Linked DNA regions of Caenorhabditis elegans. Changing the gene in region 1 together with any one later gene gives a genetic interaction. Each region holds a gene or a part of one and is shown in the gene's direction. Other genes may lie near its edges. The genes, in order: egl-15, ZK418.6, rpc-2 and metl-18.

Region 1 (7,670 bases):
CGTTCGAGATTTATAAAGGAATGCAACACAAACAGGTGCGCGTAAATAAAGAAAAACCGAAATTGAATTAGCTTTTGCATCTAAATATGTCGCCTACAATTATCCCGTGTTCTATCATTTTTGGCGACTGACTGCCTTATGCGCAATGCCCAATCACTAACCCCTTTTCTTTTTAACGCATCTCTTTTCTCATCATTGTCCATTCTCGTTTATCTCTCCTTCTTTTTCTAATTCCCTTGATTTTCTCTCACTTTCTGATTGCATTTTTCTATATTGATTAGCCTGTAGACACATACCAAATACTCCAAAAAATAAGACCCACAGCAACAAAAAACCGACGCCTATGTTGTCGGTTACCGTCTCATGATTGTAATGCCCCCTTCTCTTTTTCTTATCACTCTTTTCTAATGGAATTCTTGGGGGCAACAAACTGGTTTAATGACAAAATTGAAACAAGAAATCCATTCACCTACCTGTTAAAATTGAGTAAATGATGTGACATTTGAATTAATTAGACTCGCAACTAACCATCTCGTATCCGCGATAAGCATCTCTTGGAATGTTGGTCACACCCTGTTGTGCAACTATTAAGTTTTGAAATTACAATTTTATAATACATAACTTCTACAAAAAAGTGCCTAGAAATCGCACAGATTAAATTACACTTCAATAATCAAAAAGCTGGTTTATAACTAAATGTTCTAATCATTAATCACAACCTAAGTTTTTTATGAACATTTTCTTTTTATTTTTTTAGGAATATTTAGATAGAATGTTTCACTAAAGAAGTATCTCATTATTTTGAAAACTAGCCTTATAATCTCAAATTTGATCTAATTTAAACTATTTTATATGCAATGTATGACGTTGGTTTTGAAAAGTTACCATAGCGTTATTACGCTTACATCAGCTGCTAAAATTTGTTTTTATTATACATAACGAGTTTTTATAAAACCTCAAATTGCTCTAAAAAAATTACATAACTCTATAACATAGCCGTGATCATTGAAAAGATAGACCCACTTTATTCGCTATATCATACTGCAAGACTAGCAATAAAAAGTTACATTGTGTCCGGAAATGTTGAAAGGTTTTTGTTTCCGTAACATATGCACTGCATCCGGAAGAAACACCTCCAGATGTGACTTCTTATTCAAGGTTTTGCTTCGATATCAATCGAAACGGCATTGTGTCATTCCACCTTGTCGGCGAAGACAACGAATCCACAACATCTTAACATCTGGACGTCTTTCGTCGTCTCAATTTGACGCTCGTTCACTTTTTACTCTTTTTATTATCGCCCTCCGCTCGCTGCTCGTTTTTTTTTTCTATGAGCAACATATGCGTAAATTTAGACGGTTCTAATTATGATTTGCTTTAGTTTCTTGATTGTTCCCAGAGATCATTAGACCTTATGACCCAGAGGGTCGGAACTTTTGAAAACGTTGCGCGGGTGTCGCCAATTTGTTACATATGGTGGTGGGGTATGGAGCCAGTAATATATAACCCATGGCTCGCGCAGAGGTACCAGTAAGAACCCAACAAATAAATCTTTGTACCGGTCTGATTCACCTCTCTCACATGTATTCAATTTCAAAAGTTTCACAGCTTCTCCTTCTGAGTGTTTTAATATTTTGATTATTAGTAGATAAATAGTAGATACAAAAGATTGCAGAAATTCGAATGTTTGCCTGATACATATCATCATGAGTTATTTCCTTGCATCCTGCCTCGGTGTGGGCTTACTTTCTACAGTTTCTTGTTCTCTTCAAGGATTGACCAGTCATTACAGAGGTAAGAGAGTTGTCACAAAATCTAATTTATTTTCATATTATTCGATTTTACAGAAAATATTCCCCGTTTCAAGCATGTAGCAAACGAAAGATACGAAGTATTTCTTGGAGATGAGGTTTGGTGGAACAAATATTTAACAGCAATAGATGTACACAGTTTTAGATAAAATTTGACTGTCAAACCGCGGCGTCAAAGATTTCTGCCTTTGTCGAATGGTATCGTAATGACAAGTTACTCAAAAATGATCAAATAGATAAAGACAAAATTCGGAAAGATAATAACAGGATGATGCTTCACTTGAAGAATATTGATGTTTCAGATCAGGTATATGATTTTTTATTATTTTTGTGGTTTTTTTTTTGTTGAACAATGTGGTTAGAACACCAAGTATCGCATTTCTCCTATTAGAATTGCATGCATTTCTATTTTTTTAATTGACAATTTAGAGTGCAAAGACTGATAGGAATTCAAGACTAACATACACTATGAAACTGTATTTCGATGTCTCGTTTCAAATTTGGTTTTTCTTGTTTTTAACCTAAAATACTGGAGTTACCTAAAATACCGTAAAGAAACAATACAACATGATAATTAAAATGATTTAATGTTTGAAAAATGTTTGGAATTATTAAAAAAAAACATTTAACCAATAAAAAATATCTTGTAGATGCTAAAGTTTGTGTGATATCTCTTGCGCGTGTTTAGTTCTGCAAGAATAATATGAAAGAAAATAGGAAAAAAAACTATAACCGACTACCATGAGTTTTAAGCATCATCAAAAATATATATTAATTCAAAAATACCAACAAACTGAGAACTTTTTTCAGCAGTTTTTGACTCTGTCAACTTAAAAAAAAACGTTTATTTAAAAACGTTTAAAAACGTTTAAAAACTAATATTTTTGCAGGGTCTTTGGTCTTGCCGCGTACACAACGCATATGGACAAATATCACGAAATTTTACAGTTGAAGTTATTGGTAAGTATCTCTATTGCTCGATTCTTTGCAGTGCAAGCATAATTTCTTCCATGCATGGTGTGCTTTGTTTTCAGACTTTTGTGATTACTTCCTGTTTCCCGATATTCATCATTTGAACATTCCGATGGAATGTGTTTGTTTATGGAAATACAACAAAGAAGCAAAACGATCTGATGTGAACTATGCAGCGGTAACAGGAGAAGTCTGCTCAAAGTACGCATCTCGCATGATAAATAGAGCACGAAAACCGTTGCCAATGATTCCTTGCTTTGGTGATCACTGCAAAGAATTTGACACTACTCCTGTTTCGGATTTTGGTTTACCTGGGAAACCCGAGGACGATCCTTTAGTAAAGCGTGTTGTTTTGAAAAAAGATGATGTGATTGTGCCCGTGCATGACTCTGAAGAAAGTCCATCCGAATCCAGTAAGTTATTTCAGATCCACTTAAACTGTTCGATTGGCTCACTGAGCATCGAGTATTCGATATTAGTCATTTATTGCCAAAATTGCTACCTCCTGCGGAAATGAGGAGAGTGAAAAGCCAATTGGGCGGATGGGAGAAGATGAATAATGAACAGAAAATTGTTCGAGCCAGGCACATTCTGAGATTAAGACAGATCAATCATGCTTTGGGTAGGCTACATCAGTGGTTGAATTATTTTAAATGCTTCATTTTCTTCTTATATATCTCAGTAAACTTGTTTTTAGGAACCGAATTTATCAATGCTGATGAAAAAGAAAACAAAGAAGACGAAGAAGAAGACTATAGTGTTTCACAACCGGTTGCTCCAGATGCGGGGCTCACTGAGCTGAATATTACTGCGGAAGAGCCACCATATTTCAAGTCAAACGACAACATTGTATTGTTTAATGAAACGCATGCTCTACCAGCAGGACGAACATTGAAACTTAATTGTCGCGCAAAAGGATACCCTGAGCCACAGGTACGATTCATGAAAAACTTGAAATTTTTCACGTAAAGAAACATTGGATTTTCAATCAATGCATTTGATCACAGATTATCTGGTACAAAAACGGCAAAATGTTGAAGAAAAGTAGTGCTCGGTCCGGCGGATACGAATTCAAGTTCAATAGATGGTCTTTAGAAGTGGAAGATGCTGTCGTAGCAGATTCTGGGGAGTTTCATTGTGAAGCATTGAACAAAGTTGGAAGTGCAAAAAAGTATTTCCATGTGATCATAGTCAACAGAATGAGAAGACCGCCCATTATCGTTCCGAATATTTTGGCTAATCAATCAGTAAGATTTTGCCTCACGGCATCTATAGTTTCAATGTTTTATATTTAGGTAAATATTAATGACACTGCCACATTCCACTGCAAAGTTGTCTCTGACTTATTGCCTCATATTATTTGGGTACGCATCAACAAAATCAATGGGTCGTATAGCTACTACAACAATTCAGCTGAAGAGTATATGTTCAATTACACAGAGATGGACACTTTTGATGTATGTTATGAAACATGTTCTCATCTATCAAAAAGTGTCGTTTCAGAAAGCGCACGTCCATCACGTTGGTGATGAATCGACGCTTACTATTTTCAATGTGTCGCTGGATGATCAGGGAATATATGCTTGTCTCAGTGGAAACTCACTGGGGATGGTAAGAAATTGATTGAACCTTCTAGTTGAACAAATTAAGAGTTTTACAGTCGATGGCGAATGCCACTTTAACGGTGAATGAGTTTATGGCCATACATTTGCTCACTGGTGACGAACCGAAGATAGATAGATGGACAACATCCGATTATATATTTACAACAATTCTGCTTTTCTTACTGCTTGCTGCAACATTATTTGGAATTTTGTTTATGGTGTGCAAACAAACACTACACAAAAAAGGATTCATGGATGATACTGTTGGATTAGTGGCAAGAAAAAAAAGAGTCGTAGTTAGCAAAAGGCCAATGAATGAAGATAATGAGAATTCGGATGATGAGCCATCACCTTATCAAATTCAAATAATAGAGACTCCAATTACAAAGAAAGAAGCAGCGAGAAAACAAAGAAAACGTATGAATTCAGAAAACACTGTTCTTTCGGAATACGAGGTTGATTCGGATCCAGTTTGGGAAGTTGAAAGATCAAAGTGGGTCAAATCTTTAATACATTCAGCCAGACAAGAATTCAATTTAAACATTAAATTTCAACGTTTAGATTGAGTTTGGTTCACATGCTTGGCGAGGGAGCATTTGGAGAAGTTTGGAAAGCAACATACAAAGAAACAGAAAACAATGTAATTTTGGGAAAACAAAAAAACAAGAAAATCTGAAATTTTAATTGCGTTTCAGGAAATCGCAGTTGCTGTCAAAAAATTGAAAATGTCAGCTCACGAAAAAGAGCTCATTGACTTGGTCAGTGAAATGGAAACATTCAAAGTTATAGGAGAACATGAGAACGTGTTGCGATTGATTGGATGCTGTACAGGCGCTGGTCCGCTTTATGTCGTTGTTGAGCTGTGCAAGCATGGGAATTTGCGCGATTTCTTGAGAGCACATAGACCTAAGGAAGAGAAGGCAAAAAAGTCCAGCCAAGAATTGACGGATTATTTGGAACCACGAAAAGCATCTGATAAGGATGACATTGTGAGTGGCTTATGTTTTGAATAAAATATGATTTTTTCCACTGACAAAATTTGAAATACTCATCAAACTTTGAAAATCTTGTAGAAAAGCGTTTTCCTGATTGCTCATTATCAGTAAACCTGTCTTAGTCAGTTTTAAATTTACCAGAGTAATTTTGCTGAAATTTTCATTTTTAGGAGCTCATACCAAATTTGACACAACGCCATCTTGTACAATTTGCTTGGCAAGTGGCTCAAGGAATGAACTTCTTGGCATCAAAGAAGATCATACATCGTGATTTGGCAGCAAGAAATGTTCTCGTCGGTGATGGACACGTTCTGAAAATATCGGATTTTGGACTATCGAGAGATGTGCACTGTAACGATTATTATAGGTTGTAACATTATTCCTAATGATATATTACTGATGATATATTACTTCCAGAAAACGTGGAAACGGCAGACTTCCCATTAAATGGATGGCTTTAGAAGCGTTGGACTCAAATGTATACACCGTGGAAAGTGATGTGTGAGTAATGGTTTTCTGTGGTAGAAAAGTTTCGTGGAGGTCCTTTCCAGGTTCACGTTTGAAAAAAATTGATTTTTCAATATAATCACATATGTCTTATTTGTCTTTTCACACAAGTTAATCATCCTGAGTCAACCTGAGCATCTGAATCGGGATAGCTGTATATTTATTTTACTTATTTTGGGTTTTTAGGATACAACGTTTTAGGATTTTAATTTAGGGAAAAACATTAAACATAAATATATTTGTGATATGTCTGAATTGAAGTTGTTTCCCGCCTGTGGAAAAATAGTTATAAAAAACTATTGAACGACAATTTAATTTAACAAAAAATATATTATTCAAATTTGAATATCAAAAAAAAAAAATACTATTGCTTCCAAAACTATCACTCTGTGAACAATGCATTCACCATTTTTCTTGGCACGCTTTTATTTCAGTTTTCCATTTACATTTTTTGGGGCAATTTTAGGGCACGACAGTGGTTGTGTACCAAAATTAATACTATAATGACTCATTGATACTTTTGTAGATGGTCATATGGAGTTCTCCTTTGGGAAATCATGACACTTGGTGGAACTCCCTATCCAACGATTGCCATGCCTGAACTCTATGCTAACCTCAAAGAAGGATACAGGTGAAAATATTGAGAAAAACATGCAAATCTCACCTGTCTGACATGTTTTTGCAGAATGGAGCCACCACATTTATGTCCCCAAGAAGTCTACCATTTGATGTGCAGCTGCTGGAGAGAAAAATTGGAAGAACGACCATCTTTTAAAACAATCGTAGATTATTTGGATTGGATGTTAACAATGACAAATGAGACTATTGAGGGATCACAAGAATTTAATGTAAGGTCATACATCTGTGACAACATTTTTGAGGATATTTTCCAGGATCAATTTTTCTCCGAAAGATCCACGGCATCAGGTCCAGTTTCTCCTATGGAGTCATTCCAGAAAAAGAGAAAACATCGCCCTCTTTCAGCTCCAGTGAATCTTCCATCAGAGGTAGATCAAAACGTAATTTCGTACATAACGTATTTAAATTTTAAAAGAATTTAACCTATGAATTCGGAATCCATAAAGCACTGTTTTTGCAGCCACAACACACAATTTGCGACGACTATGAGTCCAATTTTTCTGTAGAACCACCCAATGATCCGAATCATCTCTACTGCAATGACAATATGCTGAAAAATCACATTATTACACCGGAAACCTCTCAACGTATTCCATCAAACAACAATAGCATGAGCAAACCCGAATTTTGACCGTTTTTAGTGTACATCCACAAAGTGCTCAACGAACCAATCGGAAACGGGTATGTTCGACAAGATAAATTAGCTCGTGCCGTCAGCGGTGTTGCCAACCAATCTCTCGACTCTGCCCTCGGTTCACCAGCTTGGCCTTCGTACGACCGTCCCTCTAACAAAGCTTCTTGTTTAGGTTCGTTTTCAGTTCGCTACTGACATTTAAGTTCAGGGCAACGATTTCAATGAATTTATAGATGATGAGAAGCATCACTACTATTACTCATAGTAGTCTCTCCGCCGTTATCAGATGTCATTTAAAAGTCCATTGTGGTAATCATGTTTCCGTGTTGTGTGTTTTTGTCCTGTAACATTTTTGTTTGGTGTAATGGGTTGCAGAACATCAAATCACATAAGTTAGCTTACAGATTTGCCTCCGTCAAGTGTCCAGACTAACATGACACTTATAAATGTTGTGCTATGTAACCTTTAAAGTTTCATTTGCAGATCAAACTCACCAGTATTATAATAC
Region 2 (4,521 bases), on another chromosome or scaffold:
ATAATATTTCAGAACTGCTCGAGTATATTTATCTTCGGCAAAGATGAAAAATACGCGGAATGTCCCATCGAAAATGGAACCGATCCATGCTACTTGCTCAAGGTTAGTTGCGAGATTGAAACTTGAAGGGTTTTCTACAATAATATAAATTTAGGAAGTCCACCGAGCGAAGGAATTCCGTACTTATTTTCTGGCAATTCTTCCCATTATCTTTTCAGTTATAGCGTGTCTTCTAAACATTGGATATTTAATTGCACAATTGAAATGTTTTACGCAGGAGAAAACTAGGTATTATATAATTGAAACTGTCTGTGTTATATAAAATATATTCAGTTTCAAAAAGCGTCAAGTGTTTCTTATAAGTCGATCTCTGTCAATTATTCTGGCTAATTTGTTATTCTACGTGGTTGTTATCGTTTGGAAAGCCAACGGATTTGTATATACATCTGCAATGATTTTCATTCTAATTGGAGGAATCAACTTTTTATCAGTAACAGGTAAGGTTTTATCTGTTTCATCTGAAATTGTTTGCATCTAAAACTTTCGTATTCAACTAAAATCACTATAACTTGCACCTTATAGGTACCTACATCGGTCTCACAATCCTTCTCTACACAGCAATTGCACATCAGTTTTGGTACATGACAAAACTAACTCTCACACATTGTTGGCTTATTATTGGATTGATTTGGCTGCTTTCGGCAGCTTCATCTGTAAGTTTTTCCAGTTTCAAATTGTAGTAATTTAAGACAAATTTTAAGAATTTCTTCACTTTGAAAATTATCGCGAAACTGTTCCAATTGTAATTGAGATTTGAAAAAAACTTTTATCAGCGACTTTCTGTTGCCTAGGAATATGTAAATAATTTTAATTGTTGAAAAACGTTTCCAGATATGCATTGGCCTATGGGGAGCAACTCTTTTCTACCCAGAATCTGCTCCAATATCCTGTTCATTTGAGAAATGCCAACAACCATTAGCCATAATCATAGTTGTTGGTTTATCTCTATGTTATGGTACAGTAATTGGTCTTTACATTGCAATGATGGCAAGATTACATCGTCTCGTTAGAAAATCTTCAATGATTCAAGCACGATCAAATTCAAATAGTATGACAGCAATGAAACGACTTGGATTGAATATGATCACATTTGCAATTGGAAGTATTCCTATTCTTATTGTTTGTATTGTTGCTCTTGCAAATCTTCGAGAGTTATCATCATTGGGAGAAGGGAGTAAAGGCCCTTGTAAGACTTTTTTGCACAGTTCTCTCTTTGTTGAAGTGGAAATCTTGGCAAGTGTCGCTGCAATTGTTTGGTAAGTTTTGAGGTACATAATTCTAAAAATTGCAGTTATTTACAGGCTAATTGCAATGATAATCGATCCAGTTATAAACATTTTGGCTGATAAAAAGATGCGTGGATTATTCGCCAAACAGATTAACCGGGTCTCACAACGAATTCGCCGAGCTTCCACAAAATCCACAATCTCTACGGATGATCAATAATTATTTGATTCACGCCGTTTAGAATTTTAAATCCTCTATAGAGCTAGTAATATTACTACGGGTTCCATATTTCACTTTTCTGGTTATTTTGAATTGTTGGTTTGCTGGTCTCATGGTTTATTGATAAATAGTTGCATTATTACTGTTGTACATTTAAAAAATCTACGTTTTCTTCGAGTAGCATGTGTGCTCTATTGATAAACGTTTGTTTTCCCTTCTTTAAATTTGAGATATTTTAGAAATGTTTGGAGAACAATGTTCATACAAAAAAGGAGTTGGTGGAATGATAGATGATATTCCATTCATTTTTCAGGTAAATTTTGATTCGATTGCGAACCCCCAGCATAATGTATTAGATTTCACACGCTGTGCTATTTTCTCTATCGTCTGTCATGGAAAAATAAATATATTAACTAATTATCAGAACTGCTCTCAATATTTTGTGGATGGGGACGAAATTTATGCAACGTGTGACATCGATAAGGAGACGGATCCGTGTTATTTGTTAAAGGTATGAATTAAAGTGGAGATATCTTGAAAATGTTCTAGCAAAGCTCTAGAATCCTAGCTCTTGTTCTAGATGTATTTAAGTAGTGTATACCAACATTTAAGTAGTGTATACCAGTAGTGTATTTCAACATTTTGTTTTGGCAAACTTTTGGCAAATTGTCTGATTTTCAACTAAAACTTGAATTTTTGAGTAACTTTGAAATTTGTTGAAAGTTCGAAACCATGTAATTATACAGTACAAATACTTAAAGCGTATTTGAAGAATAAAACTTGGAGAAAAAATATGTTTCCTTTGCTGGACTTCTACTCTATAGAGCTAATTAGTTTACTTTAGCTTCACACTCTATTTTGAAGTTTCATCAACTTTTTTTTAAACCTTTTGTCATTCTGAAAACAACGTAAATTACATTTTTCCAGGAACTCCATCGATCAGACACGTTTAGCACTTATTTTCTTGCCATCATACCGATGGTTTTGTCAATTATCACATTTATTATAAATCTAGGATACTTGATAGCTCAAATCAAATGTTTTAGATATGAAACTATGGGGTATGAGAATTGTTAGCGAAATCTCTGCAAGTTAAACATTTTCAGTTTCAAAAAAAGAGAGGCATTCCTAATGAGTCGATCATCATCAAATATCTTTGCCATTGTATTATTTTATGTTATACTTATTGTTTGGAAAGTTAACGGATTTAATTATGTTTCAGCAATGATTTTTATTATTATCGGAGGTAGCACGTTTATGTCAATTACTGGTTCGTTTAATCGCTAATTTAGAAATCTTAAAACTTTCATTTAAGCATTCCAGGTATCTATATAGTTCTGACAGTAATTTTATATATGGCCGTAGCCCATCACATTTCCTATATGACTACGATAACTCTTACACATTGCTGGCTAATTATTGGATTAATTTGGATAATATCAACTGTTACATCTGTTTGTTTTCTTGTCCATCAATTGTGATTAGTAAAAAAAAATAGTATTCTAGGTTTTTGTTGGAATGTGGGGAGCAACACTTTTCTATCCAGACTCTGCTCCTTTTACCTGCTCATTTGAATCTTGTCAGCAGCCGCTTGCAATTGTGATAGTGATTATGTTATCGATATGTTATGGTACAGTAATCGGTTTATATATTGCAATGATGGCAAGAATTCATCAATTAGTTCGAAAGTCTTCTATGGTTCAAGCTAGATGCAATTCAAATAGTAAGTTTTGGATTGAAATTTAATGATTTTGGGGTTCTTTTTCTGCTTTTTCGATTTACGAGAGTTTTTGACAATTTCTACTTTTCTTTGCCGGAGATAACTCAAAAGATCATTTTTTAAATGTATTTGAAAAAAAAAATTCAAAGCTCGTGTGCTGTGGATATTTAATTCCTGGTATTGTTAACATTTCCTCAAGAAAATAAGAAATTAATATCTTTCATTAATCTATACTTCACATCTTTTTAGAACTTTCTAGATGCCTCTATCCCACAACAATTCTATTTAAATAAAGAAGAACTTTCTGATTTTAAGGTATGATTGCGATGCGTCGATTGAGTATGAATATGATAACTTTTGCCATTGGAACTATTCCTATTCTTATTGTTTGTATAGTTGCACTTGTAAATCTGAAAGAGCTTTCATCATTAGGAGAAGGATGTAAAAGTCCCTGTAAAACATTTCGTCTAAGTTATCTCCTTATTGACGTTGAAATGATGGCAAGTATATCAGCGATTGTTTGGTAAGTTGAGAAAATCTATATGATATTGTTACACGAGATATTTTTCAGGCTTATCGCTATGATTGCTGATCCTGTCATTAATATATTATCGGACAAAAAGCTGCGAGGCGTTTTCATCAAACAATTTTCAAAATTTCCATCGATTTTTAGGAAATCTAAAGAAAGAACCACATCAATCACAGAAGTTTCAGAGGACCACTCTGAAGTCGAAAAGTTGTGAATATTTAATCAGTTTTACACAATAAAAAATCTACCTCCTGTAATAACAAAAGTTCAAAATATCAACCAAAAAAAAACATTTCATTTGTAAATCTAGTAACACACAATTTAACTAAATTATTCAAAACGTGTTCACTTTTAATTCGTTTCATTTTTCGAAACCGTGCGAAAAAAAGTTATCTTGATTCAATTTCAATTTATTCAACCAATTTCAACACGCATTCCTCAAATTGGCGTTATTCATAACTTGGTAACAATAGGACAAATGCAGCAAGCCTCAGAAAAGAAGAAAAAACGAGAGGCCGCCAAGAATCCGCAGGTGGGGGAAAGATCGGCTTTTGTCACATGGCCGTGAGAAGGGAACACTCGGCCATCAGTTTTTTTTCTCGCGGCCACGGGACATCACAATTACATCGCGATGTGCGTATAATTCATAACGAAATCGGTCAATCGCAATACGAAGATTTCTAATTTCGTGTGTCCGCAATGTTAAACTTTGGAACGAACACCAAAAGGTGTTTTATTGTCTGGCCCGCAGACATATGTGAATAGT
Region 3 (7,786 bases), on another chromosome or scaffold:
AGGAAGTCTGCCAGAAGATGTCGTTCTCCGTGAGCGCCGCCGCCAAGTCGGAAATCCTTGTCGACACACACGGATCGAAGAAGGTGGTTACATTGAATAGGCCTAAAGCGCTAAACGCGTTGAACCTCGAAATGGTACGAGAGTTTTATCCCAAACTTCAAGCCTGGAATTCATCTTCCGATGTGGATCTTGTCATTTTGAAAGGATCCGGTGATAAGGCGTTCTGTGCTGGAGGAGATGTTCTTGCCGTTGTGCGATCTTTCAAAGATTCGGAGAGTGGAAAAGAGTGCACAATGCACAAGGATTTCTTCCGCGAGGAGTACATTTTAAATCATTTAATTGGAACTTTGAATAAGCAATACGTTTGTCTGATTGATGGAATTGTGATGGGAGGAGTAAGTTATCTGCAACTATTTTCTTTTCAATTTTTTAAAAAACTTGTTTCAGGGTTGTGGTCTTTCTGTAAATGGACGTTTCCGAGTTGCCACTGAGAAAACAATGCTAGCAATGCCAGAAACCGCACTTGGACTCTTCCCAGACGTCGGTGGATCCTATTTCCTTTCAAGGCTCAAGGGAAACCTCGGAATGTACTTGGCACTCACTGGATATCGTCTTCTAGGTGCTGACGCTTTCCATGCTGGTCTTGCCACTCATTTTGTGGAGTCTTCGGAACTTGCGAAATTGGAAAAGGAACTTGTGAATATTAAGGATGTGACAGAGAACTCTGTCGATGAAGTCATCAGATCGTTCGAGCCAAAGAAGATTCCAGAATTCAGTCTGTCCAAGAATTTGGCTCAAATTAGAGATTCCTTCAAAGCAAAGTAAGATATTTTGTCACCAAGATCACGTGTATTTGAGTTGGAACAAATTAAAAAGTAGCATTTCATCGAATTGATTTATTATTGTTTCTCAGATAATATTAGTTTTAAGCAAAAACTAGGAAAGGGCCAGTTTTGAGGATTCGATAGCACACAAAAAATTACATTTGCCTAAGATATATAAAATAATTGATTTTTCAGAAGCGTCGAAGAAATCCTCGCAAGCCTCGAAAAAGACGGATCCGACTGGGCAAAGAAGCAAGCAGCCACTCTAGGAAAAATGAGCCCAACTTCCCTGAAAGTAACTCACCGACAAATCACCGAAGGAAGCAAGATGAGCTATGCAAAGATCTTCACAATGGAGTATCGTCTCACTCAACGATTCCTCGCCGATAAGGATTTCCATGAAGGGTGCCGAGCCAGTGAGCAGAGATTTTGTAGGGTTTCATTGAAAATTTGACTCATTTTTCAGTTCTCGTTGACAAGGATCGCAAGCCAAAGTGGAATCCAGCGACGTTGGCTGATGTGAAGGATTCTGTCGTCGATAACTATTTCTCGCCATTGCCAAATAATTCTGATTTAAAATTGTAGAGGCCAGAATTAGCGGAAAATTGAATTTTTAATGGAAAGCTAAAAAATCAGGGAAACCCATAATTTTTATCGGATTTCCTCGTTTTCCTATCTTTTCACCCAAAATGTTGATTTTCCCCCATAATTTTTACCATTTTAATAGGAACCCCTTATGTATTTATTTTTAGAAAAATGTCTAGCTATAATTTAATTTTTCCGGGTGTACAAATAATTTCCGTGCCTTTTTCAGCTATTCGCCGTATGAATATAAAGTTTTTTTTTGTTTTTGAATTTTATTTCCAGATTTCTATTGCAAACTGTTATTTTCTGTTTTTGTACCTCTTTTTCAAATAATTTTTATTCTAGAATTTCAGATTTTCAATACCAATTTTCAGATGACAATTGGCCAAGTGAACGGCCGCGCTCGCATAAAATCCGAGTGCGGCAAGGATCAGAAATGCATGCCACTCGAGGACAAATGGCTTCTCGTTCCCGCGTTTTTGAAAGTTCGAGGACTCGTCAAACAGCATCTCGTCAGTTTCGATCATTTCGTGCAGGAGGAGATCCGAAGTATCATGCTCTCCAATCAGAAGATCACTTCCGATGCAAATCCAAACTTTTATCTCAAATATTTGGATATTCGAATCGGAAAACCCAGCAGTGAGGAGGGTCTCAACATGACTCACGATAAGATTACCCCTCAAGAATGTCGACTACGAGATATGACCTACTCGGCGCCAATTTCAGTGGATATTGAGTACACACGTGGTAATCAAAGAGTATTCAAGAAGGATCTGATCATTGGTCGAATGCCGATTATGCTTCGTTCGAGTAAATGTATTCTCAGAGATCTTGCCGAAGAAGAGCTTGCAAGAGTTCAAGAATGCCCATATGATCCAGGAGGTTATTTTGTGGTCAAAGGAAGTGAAAAGGTTATCCTGATTCAAGAACAACTCTCCAAAAATCGTATTATGGTTGGAAGAAATTCAAGTAAAGAACTGCAGTGTGAAGTACTTTCGTCGACGTCCGAGAGGAAAAGTAAGACATATGTGACTATGAAGAAGGGTAAATATTCTGTTCGCCACAATCAGCTCACCGATGATGTACCAGTTTCCATCATTTTCAAGGTAAATTTTGAGAATTTTGATGACAACTGAAAAAAAAAATGTTCGGCATTCATTCCTAAATATTTTATTTAAAAAAAAAAACATCCAATACAAAAACATTCTCCGAAAAATATTTTTCCAAATTTTGATGCAAAAAATATTCTCAAAAAATGTTTTAGAATAAAAAATAATGAAGCTTTCTTTCTTTCTGATTGTGAGAAACTGAACATTTTACGATATTTTCAATCGAAATTCCTCAAAAACATTTATTATCGAATCTGGAGTTTTTCAGATTTTTTTTTCCAAAATTCGAGTTCGCTTTTTTTAATTCAAGAAAATTATTACAAAAAATAGGGAAAATTTTAAAAAAAGTGTAGCATTATGTTAAAACAAAAACTAAAAACCGCTTCCTTTTCAAAGTTTCAATTTTCCAGGCGATGGGAGTCGAATCAGATTTTGACATTGTGAGTACAATCGGTCACGAGGAGAAGTACGTTTCAGCATTTGCTCAAACTCTCGAAGAATCCATAAATGCCGGAGTTTATACCCAACAGCAGGCACTCGCATATGTTACCTCAAAAGTCAAGGCTCGTAAATTCACACCATTCGGATCACTTCCAGGAACTTCAGTGAGCGTCTTGACTCCACCGAAAGAACACGAAGCAGTCGATTTTCTGTCCAATTCAATGATCACACATATTGCTTGCCCAGATGGAAATTTCAAAATGAAGGCGATTTATTTGGGATTAATGACAAGACGACTGATTCAAACGGAACTCGGAGAAAATGGGCTTGATGATCGGGATTTCTACGGAAATAAACGTTTGGAGCTCGCTGGATCATTGCTTTCGTTGCTGTTTGAGGATGTATTCAAAAGATTCAACTCTGAACTGAAAAGAATTGCAGACAATGCGTTGATGAAGACAATGGCTGCACCATTGGATATTGTGAAGCATATGAGACAAGATATGATTACGAATACTATAGTGAATGCTATGTCGACAGGAAATTGGATTATCAAAAGATTCCGAATGGAACGACTTGGTGTTACACAAGTACTAAGTAGATTGTCATATATCTCAGCACTTGGTATGATGACAAGAATCAACTCGACTTTTGAGAAAACTCGAAAAGTCTCTGGTCCTCGATCCCTTCAACCATCTCAATGGGGAATGCTTTGTCCGAGTGATACTCCTGAAGGTGAAGCTTGTGGTCTTGTGAAGAATCTCGCTTTGATTAGTCACATTACAACTGATTCCGATGAGAAACCCGTTCTCAGATTGTTACTCAATTCGGGAGTCGAGGATTTACATAATGTGCATTTCTCGCATGTCAATAAGCCGTGAGTTTTTACAAATTAAAATTTTAAGTGTGAAATCTTGAAAAATAAAAGTTTTGAGAATGCTAGTTTTGAAAAAATCGCATATTTTAATCAATTTTTATAAATTTCTAAAATAAATTATCAATTTCATAAAAATTAGATTTCAAATCGAGTTAAGGTTTGACAATTTTTGAAAATTACTAGATCCATTTTTTTGTGTTTTTTCCTAAAAAAAAGGTTATTTTTATCGAAAATTTTCAGTGAAAACACGTTGATCTTCTTAAACGGAGTGCTCATTGGAACAGCTGTGGATCCAGAAAGAGTGGTGAAAGCCGTCAGAGATTTGAGAAGGTTTCAACAAAAAAATGTTGCCAAAAAATTCATCGAATTTCAATTTCAGAAGTGGACTCCTGTCAGAATTTGTTTCAGTATCCCGTTCTCTAACCAATCGTTCTGTTTTCATTTCATCAGACGGTGGCCGCCTGTGTCGACCATATATTATTGTCAAAAACGGAACTCCAATGCTCACACAGGCTCACGTGCAGGAACTGAAAGAGGGAAAAATGATTTTTGAGGATTTTGTTGATGACGGAATTGTCGAATATTTGGATGTAAATGAGATGAACGATGCGTTGATTGCCGTTTATGGGAGAGAAATTGGCCCAGAAACTACACATTTGGAGGTACGTTTTTGAACTTTGTGAATCTAAAAATGAAAAAAATTAAATCGAAAACTGGTTGTTCTTTCCTGTAAAGAAAATTCAAAAAATTTGGTAAAATTTGTCTGAAACTTAAAACTATGTGAAAAAAGTTTAAATTCTCATTTTTTTAAATATAAAAAATTGAAAATCAAATTATTTAGAGCTCTAAAATTCTATAATTCAAGGAAATTCCAACATTTAAAGATTTTTATCCTTAGTTTAAAATAAAATTTGCACTTTTCAGTGTCTGAGCTATTAATAATCTTTCAAAATTTCCAGATTGAGCCATTTACTCTTCTTGGAGTGTGTGCTGGTCTTATTCCATATCCACATCATAATCAATCTCCACGTAATACTTATCAATGTGCTATGGGTAAACAAGCAATGGGAACAATTGCCTATAATCAACAGAAAAGAATTGATTCAATTATGTATCTTTTATGTTATCCACAGAGACCACTCGTTAAGTCAAAGGTTCGTTAAAATTGAAATATTTTAAAATTTATGAAAAAAATTTGATTAAAAAATGCATGTTTCATTTATTGAACTAATGTTTGTGGAGAGATATCGTTAATAATCCTGAAAATAAAAATAAATCAATTTCCTGAATTCCGAAAAATAAAAAAATCAAATCGGAAGTATCCGCTATATCTTTCTAATCAATTATTCTATTCAGAAATTTTTAATTTGTTTTTCTTTTAGAAAATTATCAATTGTTCAAACTTTTTACATCACAATTTTCCAGACAATCGAACTGACAAACTTTGAAAAACTGCCGGCCGGCGCGAATGGAATCATCGCAGTGATGTCATACAGTGGTTACGATATCGAAGATGCTCTTGTGCTCAATAAAGCTTCACTGGATCGTGGTTATGGTCGTTGTCTGGTCTACAAACATGTGAAGGGAACCGCCAAAAAATATCCGAATCAGACATTCGATCGTCTTCTAGGACCAGCATTGGATCCGAACACGAGAAAACCAATTTTCAAGCACAAAAATCTCGATCAAGAGGGTATTGTATTCGCCGGAGCACGTATTATGCCGAAACAGACGATTATCAATAAGCACATGCCAGTTGTCAGTGGAGAAAGTGGTCCTGGAGCGTCGGCTTCTGCCAATACAAGTATGTTGAAATGAGCATGACGAATTTGTATAAGGAAAATAAAAACGGAATGTACAGTTTCGAGAAGACATCTATTTTTTTAAAAGTTTTACGAAAAAAAACACGAAAAATATAAAAAAAAAAGAATAATAAACAATTCCCAGACCAACCTCGTAAAAATGAAAGCGAGTTTTCAACAGAAACCCTGTTTTAAAACTTTTTCCAAAAAATCTGAAGTATTTATAGCATTTTTTAATTTTTACCAATTAAACAAATGTTTTAAAAAAAAACTCAAAGAAACTGTCTCCGTTCTTTTTTGCGAATATAAATTTTCTAACTTTTTTACGTTCACAATTAAATAAAACTTGACATTTATTCCGTTCAAATATTCAATTAATTTAATTTAAAACGAAAATTTAAATATAAAACTCTGAAAAAGTAAAAAAAAAAACGTTCACTAACAATTCTTTAAATTTTCAGTCGGAATCGCTGGACGCCAAGTTGACTACAAAGACGTCTCGATCACGTATAAAACTCCAACTCCATCATATGCGGAACGAGTTCTTCTTACCTATAATGAAGATGAAGCTCATTTATTCAAAGTTCTTCTTCGACAAACCCGTCGGCCAGAACTTGGAGATAAATTCTCATCTCGACACGGACAAAAAGGAGTATGCGGATTGATTGCTCAACAGGAAGATATGCCATTTAATGATCTTGGAATGGTGCCAGATATGATTATGAATCCTCATGGATATCCATCTCGAATGACTGTCGGAAAATTAATGGAATTGTTATCTGGAAAAGCTGGAGTAGTGAATGGAACATATCATTATGGAACAGCATTTGGTGGAGATCAGGTTAAAGATGTCTGTGAAGAATTGGCTGCTTGTGGTTATAATTATATGGGAAAAGATATGCTGACAAGTGGAATTACTGGACAACCATTATCTGCTTATATCTACTTTGGACCAATCTATTATCAGAAGCTCAAGCATATGGTTTTGGATAAGATGCACGCCCGTGCCAGAGGACCGAGGTGTGGAGAGATTTTGAATTTAGATAATGTCTTGTCTGGAAATTCTGAATTTTGGAAAGAATTTTCAATTAAATATTTAAAAATTAAGTTTAGCAACAAAATCTGAAAAAGAAAAATTTTTAGAACAGTTAACTCTGCATTTTCCAACTTTCCTTTAAAACTTTTGATGTAAAACAATGAGGAATTGCAACATTTTTTTAATTAGAAAATTTGGTATCAATCAAAATTCACTTATTTTTATCATGGTTAAAATTTCGAAAAAAGCCAAATTGAAAAAGTTCTGAAAAAGGAATTGACAAAATGCTCGAAGCTTAGGAAATTAGGGGAAAAAAGAATCAATTTTTCATAGTGGAAATACATTTTTTTCAAATCCAATTCGCGGAAATGTTATGCATATTTTGGAACAAAAAAAACCATTTTAATTTTTCTCACATTTTTTAAATTAAAAAAAAAACTTTTTTTAAAAATTTTTTTCAATTTATTCTCAGAGTTTCTTTTAAAAATCTATAAATTTTCAGAGCCGCATTGACTCGCCAGCCAACAGAAGGAAGATCACGAGAAGGAGGTCTACGTCTTGGAGAAATGGAACGTGATTGTCTCATTGCCTATGGAGCATCGATGCTGCTTATTGAGCGTTTGATGGTGTCATCAGATGAGTTTAAGGTAAATTCCCTTACCGAGTTTTTTTTAAAAGTTTGCTACTTTTGTGTGTGTGCGCGCAATTTTTGCTCATCATTACACTAGCCGTAACACTCTCAAGTGGTTCTTTTTTGCGAAAATGAGGAGCGAAACTGTTGCGGGAGAGACTGGGAGAAGCCTTGCGTGGGTTGACTTTGCGGGTCGACTTTTCTTGGAAACTGGGTTGACGTTTTTTGGAAAGGTTCTTGAAAATTTTTGATTTACCGCAGAGAAAATTATGGATTTTGTTTGATCATGAGAGAATACATTTCCCGACTTTTATCTGAAAATATCGAAAAAAAAGGTCGGAAACCGATTATTAATTTTTTTTTGAACTCCCACTTTTTTATAAGAACAGAGAAATCGATTTTAAAAAAAGCATTTTCCCTAAAAACTTTTTAAAAAAAGCAAAACTTTCTATTTTAATGGCTCTGAATCTCTGTTGCTCGG
Region 4 (4,512 bases), on another chromosome or scaffold:
CTCACGGAACGAGAAGACGCCACGATCCAATGGAAATGCTTCAACTGGCAGAACGAAATCTATGGAATTACACGGAATTGCTGATCCGGCAGAAGCTGAATATCTACGAAATGTACTATATCGATACATGACTAATCGAGAATCTCTTGGAAAAGAATCTGTGGTAAGGGGAAATTGAATTTTTGAATTTTTGGGTGAAAAATCATGATTTTCATGCAATTTTACACTGAAATTTTTCCGAAAAATTGCCAATAATTGGGCGGAGCTTAATCTAGAAAAAAAGTAAAAAAAACCAATAAATGGGCGGAGCTACTTCTAAAATTTTTGAAAAATTGCCAATAAATGGGCGGAGAATTTAAAATTAATTTAATTTAAAAAGAAAATTTAAAATTTTCAAAAAATAAAATTAAGTCAATTTTTTTGAAATGTTTAGTTTAAGCTCCGCCCATTTCTTGGCTCATCTCGTAAAATTTGAACTAATTTTTCTAAATTTTTGCAGACATTGGCCCGTGTAATTGGAACTGTGGCCCGATTCGACGAGTCTCAAATGAAAAATGTGATAAGCAGTGAAGAATCAAGGCAGGCAAGCTGGGCGGCAGCTGTTGGTGGAACTGTTAGCCATGCGTTGAATCGATAATTCGAAACTCTAATTTTTGCTCAATTTTCTCTCATTTTTCATGTTTTTTTGTGTGTGAAACTGACTAATTTTCTCTCAGAATGTGATAGCCAAGAAATGGGCGGAGCTTACGATTTTTGTCGAAAATTTTTGGATTTTTTTTTCAATATTTTCTATGGAAAAAACCGAAAATTGAATTTTTTGAACCGATTTTTTGAAAAATTATTTTTAAAAAATTTTCTGCGATAATCGCAATATTAGTTTTTTCTTCAAAAAAAATTCAAAAAAACTAATTTTTAAATTTTCCACAAAAAAAAAAAATTTCTAAAAATTGGAATTTTTCGAATTGTCTATCAAAAAAAACGCTCGTAAATCGACACTGAGAGAAAATTAGCCAATTACAGGCAAAATTACGTCTTCTTTTAGATTAACCCCCGTAATTAGAGTTTTTTTTTCAATATTTTTCAAATTAACAAAATTCTTTTTTTTGGATATACCCCCTACCGGTTATTAGATTTTTGAAAACAATATCCCCCGATTTTTTTCTAATTTTTTTAAAAATAATTTTTTTTTTCGTAGAAATTCTGTTTCCTCTATATTGTTCTGCTTTATCCTCCCAACGACTGTGATTAATCGCCGAAAAATTTTTAGATTTTTATTTCAATTTTTTTTCGAACAATTTATTGTGTATATATACGAGAAATATATATGTAATAAAATTTTTTAATTTATTTCGAAAAAAAAAATTATTTTTATTTTTTCAAACTTGCGTTAGATTTTTACCAATTTTGATATTTTATCGGGTTAAAAAATTTTTTTTCAGATTTTTTGAAAAATAGTTGATATTTTTCGGGAAATTTCCAGATTAAAAAAAATCATATTTTTCAAAAAAAAAAAGATCAAATTTTTTGGAAAATTTCAGAATTTTTTAAAAACTTCCGGGTTTTTTGAAACATTTCCAGATATTCCAAAATTTTTAAAAAATCAAGTTTTTCGAAAAATTCCAGATTTTTTCAGAATGAACGTGCTGAAGCTCACCAATGGCCGAGAAATCTCCTACTTGAACGAAGTGGAAATTCGAATGGGAATTGATGAGCTTAATGGAGAAGAAAGATACAAAAAAGAGCTGGAAAATATGGAAACGTCCGATATTACAGTTCACAAATATGAGGGTGGATTTAAGGTGCTGATTGTGACGTGAATTTTAGAAAAAAAACGACATTTTTGACTGAAAATTGGAGTTTTTTTAATTAAAAAAAATTATTTGGGAAAGTGAAAAAAAAATGGAAATAACTTGAACAAACATAAGAAAATTTTAAAAAATCGAAAAAAAATCGATAAAATATTGTTTTAAAAAATTTGAAAAAATTAGATTTTTTCTGCATTTTAAATTTTTTGAGTCTCCTTTTTTCTGGAATTTTTAAAAATAATTTTGAGAATTTTTCAGAAATTTTTGTGAAATTATCCGATAAACTAGGTCCTATTTTTCGTGTTTTTCACTGATTCTAATTGAAATTTGAATTTTTTTTCCCAAAATTTTAAAAAATTCAAAATAAATATATATTTGGATTTTCTGCGAATTTTATATTTAGAAATTCAAATTTTCAGAAAAAATGTTTTTTTGAATTCTATTTGCGATTTTTTTTTAATTTGAAGCGTTCGAAATCTAGTGGCATAAAAATTTTGAGAATAGCGTTTTTTTTCAATTTTCTTTCAGAAAAAAATTTGAGAAAAAAATTGAAATTTTGAAATTAAATCCAATTTTGCAAAAAAAAAAAAAATTCTTCTAATATAAAAATTTAATGTTTTTTTTTAAATTTAATTTTTACTTAATAAATAAATTTGCAGATCTGGGAATGCACCGTCGATCTTTGCGACTATATCGAAGAAAATCAAACGCTTTTCGCCGGAAAATCAGTTCTAGAGCTCGGCTGTGGAGCAGCTCTTCCATCAATTCTCACGGCGGTACACGGAGCTAAGGAAGTTTTCGCTCAGGACTTTGTAAGTCTACGAGATGAGTTAAAACAAAAAATTAATCTAAAACATTGCAGAACGCGTCAGTCATCGAGTTCTTCACACTTCCAAACTTCGAAGAAAATCCGCATTCAGCAGTTGTTCAAGGAGAAGCAATGGGATGGGAAGAGGTTCCGAATCGATTGAGCGGAAGAAAGTAAGCAGCAAAAAGACATCAGCCCAATGCGGGGCTCGAACCCGCGACAACCAGATTAAGAGTCTGGTGCTCTACCGACTGAGCTAACCGGGCGGCGATGTAGACTCGTCTTGGTGGACGTTTTGTATAGCGCCCGGCTGGAGACGGGGGGGGGGGGGGGCCTAAGACGCAGAACTTTATGTTATATTCCATTTACCAGATTCGACTTCATTCTCTCATCGGAAACCATTTACAACGAAGATGACTATCAAGCTCTCCACGATGCGGTCGCTGCAACAATCAAGGATGACGGAGTCGCGTAAGATCGTTTGTGTCGATTTACGCAGCAGCTCGTGTATTCCTCGAGGAGAAGAGAGTTTTTTTTTTAAAGCTTGAGACCGTTTTTTTTCTGTACTTAACATGATATTTGGCAATTTTGCTAGACAAAAATCGCAGAAAATCGATTTTGATCACGAAAAGTGAACGTTTTTTGTTGGTTTTTGTATACAAACAACCTTTTTTGTCGAAAAATTTTTTTAAAAATTAGAAAAAATTTTTAAAATGTTGAATTAGCTTTAACGCTTCTTCCCCTTTTTTTAATATCAAAAAGTTCTGAGATTTTTTACCATAAACTTTTTTTCGCGGCGAGACCCATTCTTAAGAATTTCTTAGCGTTTTTAAGTATAATTTTCGATAAAAATAGTTTAAATAAAAATTTTTTTAAAAATCTATGTTTTCTGCCCAAAAAATTGTTTTTTTTAATATTCCGATTAAAATAAATTTCATTTTTCTTTGGTTAAAAAATCGTGTCGAAAAATATAAAAAATATTGAATTTCCTTGAAAATGAGTCTCTTTTCATTGAAAAAACCCACACAGAATACGAATTTTTGCCGAAAACTTCTCCTCGAGGACTACACGAGCTGCGTAAATCGACACATGGAAGAGATTCAAACTCTTCCATTTTCAAGCCCTTCAATTTCAGATGGTTCGCCGCGAAATTCTTCTACTTTGGCGTCGGCGGAAGTGTTCCAGCATTCTGCGAATTTATCAATCAACGCGGAATTCTTCAAGCTTCTGAGGCAAAAGTGATCGCCGCTTCAGTGCCCAGACGGATTGTGGAGATTCGGAAAAAATGATTTGAATTTTTTCGTCTTTTTGTTGTGTTTTTTATTTGTTAAGTTGTTCAAGAATTGTCCTTTTTCAATAAAAACTGTTTCATTTCAAGAAAAAAAATCAGTCGTAAAATGCACACCTACCCGCCATTAGTTTGTAAGTAGAGAGAATAATGAGAAAAATGGGAAAAATGGAACGTTTTGTACTGACAATTTAAGCAGCAACACGTGGTGTCAGAGTGTCTCATTTCGGCTTGATCTACGTCGATCTACAAAAAATGCGGGAGACGAGACGCAGAGTTCTGCACTGATGCTGTATGGTTAAGAACGTGATGGCGTCACTTTTTTTAGGCAGAAAAAAACTCCCGCATTTTTTGTAGATCAAACCGTAATGGGACATCCTGACACCACGTGCGCAAAAAGGGGCTAAAATGACTAGAACTCCTGATGACCGTATCGATCCACTGGCCACATACATTGACAAGAGATTGGAGCATCTGGAATTGTAAATGGATGCCAATGAATTGAACCAACACTACGACGAGACACGTGTACCTAAAAGAAATTAGGAATTGAGTGTGTGTGAAAAACACTATATTTTACGCGCAATTTTTGTGGAAATTTTTGGGGAACC

Evidence for each region.
Region 2: changes in egl-15 (region 1) and ZK418.6 together harm fitness more than expected from each alone (negative genetic interaction), as found in Caenorhabditis elegans (one large-scale study listed by BioGRID).
Region 3: changes in egl-15 (region 1) and rpc-2 together harm fitness more than expected from each alone (negative genetic interaction), as found in Caenorhabditis elegans (one large-scale study listed by BioGRID).
Region 4: changes in egl-15 (region 1) and metl-18 together harm fitness more than expected from each alone (negative genetic interaction), as found in Caenorhabditis elegans (one large-scale study listed by BioGRID).

The regions. Positions count from the first base shown.
Region 1 is NC_003284.9:11,014,735-11,022,404, forward strand, and holds the start of egl-15 (receptor protein-tyrosine kinase), read left to right. Parts: upstream 1-1,665; 5' UTR 1,666-1,706; coding exon 1,707-1,794; intron 1,795-1,847; coding exon 1,848-1,909; intron 1,910-1,956; coding exon 1,957-2,118; intron 2,119-2,701; coding exon 2,702-2,771; intron 2,772-2,845; coding exon 2,846-3,196; intron 3,197-3,210; coding exon of another isoform or gene 3,211-3,405; intron 3,406-3,480; coding exon 3,481-3,716; intron 3,717-3,790; coding exon 3,791-4,030; intron 4,031-4,078; coding exon 4,079-4,240; intron 4,241-4,286; coding exon 4,287-4,394; intron 4,395-4,443; coding exon 4,444-4,880; intron 4,881-4,948; coding exon 4,949-5,027; intron 5,028-5,082; coding exon 5,083-5,376; intron 5,377-5,552; coding exon 5,553-5,749; intron 5,750-5,799; coding exon 5,800-5,883; intron 5,884-6,415; coding exon 6,416-6,520; intron 6,521-6,574; coding exon 6,575-6,737; intron 6,738-6,782; coding exon 6,783-6,896; intron 6,897-6,988; coding exon 6,989-7,115; coding exon of another isoform or gene 7,116-7,159; and 7 more. UniProt on the Caenorhabditis elegans protein: Receptor tyrosine kinase required for larval development. May phosphorylate adapter protein soc-1 which in turn may result in the recruitment and/or activation of phosphatase ptp-2.
Region 2 is NC_003281.10:7,076,062-7,080,582, reverse strand, and holds ZK418.6 (G-protein coupled receptors family 1 profile domain-containing protein), read left to right. Parts: upstream 1-1,745; 5' UTR 1,746-1,747; coding exon 1,748-1,819; intron 1,820-1,930; coding exon 1,931-2,017; intron 2,018-2,433; coding exon 2,434-2,567; intron 2,568-2,612; coding exon 2,613-2,776; intron 2,777-2,829; coding exon 2,830-2,960; intron 2,961-3,012; coding exon 3,013-3,229; intron 3,230-3,541; coding exon 3,542-3,749; intron 3,750-3,797; coding exon 3,798-3,969; 3' UTR 3,970-4,011; downstream 4,012-4,521. Other genes in the region: ZK418.7 (G-protein coupled receptors family 1 profile domain-containing protein), read left to right, coding at 13-102, 155-288, 334-497, 583-713, 892-1,316, 1,362-1,506; ZK418.13 (Pollen-specific leucine-rich repeat extensin-like protein 1), read left to right, coding at 4,234-4,287.
Region 3 is NC_003281.10:5,555,582-5,563,367, forward strand, and holds the start of rpc-2 (DNA-directed RNA polymerase subunit beta), read left to right. Parts: upstream 1-1,783; coding exon 1,784-2,515; intron 2,516-2,928; coding exon 2,929-3,836; intron 3,837-4,076; coding exon 4,077-4,166; intron 4,167-4,215; coding exon 4,216-4,498; intron 4,499-4,795; coding exon 4,796-4,990; intron 4,991-5,261; coding exon 5,262-5,640; intron 5,641-6,099; coding exon 6,100-6,658; intron 6,659-7,176; coding exon 7,177-7,321; intron 7,322-7,786. Other genes in the region: hach-1 (3-hydroxyisobutyryl-CoA hydrolase, mitochondrial), read left to right, coding at 3-395, 448-821, 1,020-1,240, 1,291-1,409.
Region 4 is NC_003281.10:3,424,107-3,428,618, forward strand, and holds metl-18 (protein-histidine N-methyltransferase), read left to right. Parts: upstream 1-1,631; 5' UTR 1,632-1,634; coding exon 1,635-1,799; intron 1,800-2,464; coding exon 2,465-2,617; intron 2,618-2,667; coding exon 2,668-2,786; intron 2,787-2,792; exon of another isoform or gene 2,793-2,886; intron 2,887-2,985; coding exon 2,986-3,084; intron 3,085-3,748; coding exon 3,749-3,902; 3' UTR 3,903-3,988; downstream 3,989-4,512. Other genes in the region: golg-4 (GRIP domain-containing protein), read left to right, coding at 1-163, 500-637; K01A11.1 (Spaetzle domain-containing protein), read right to left, coding at 4,314-4,433.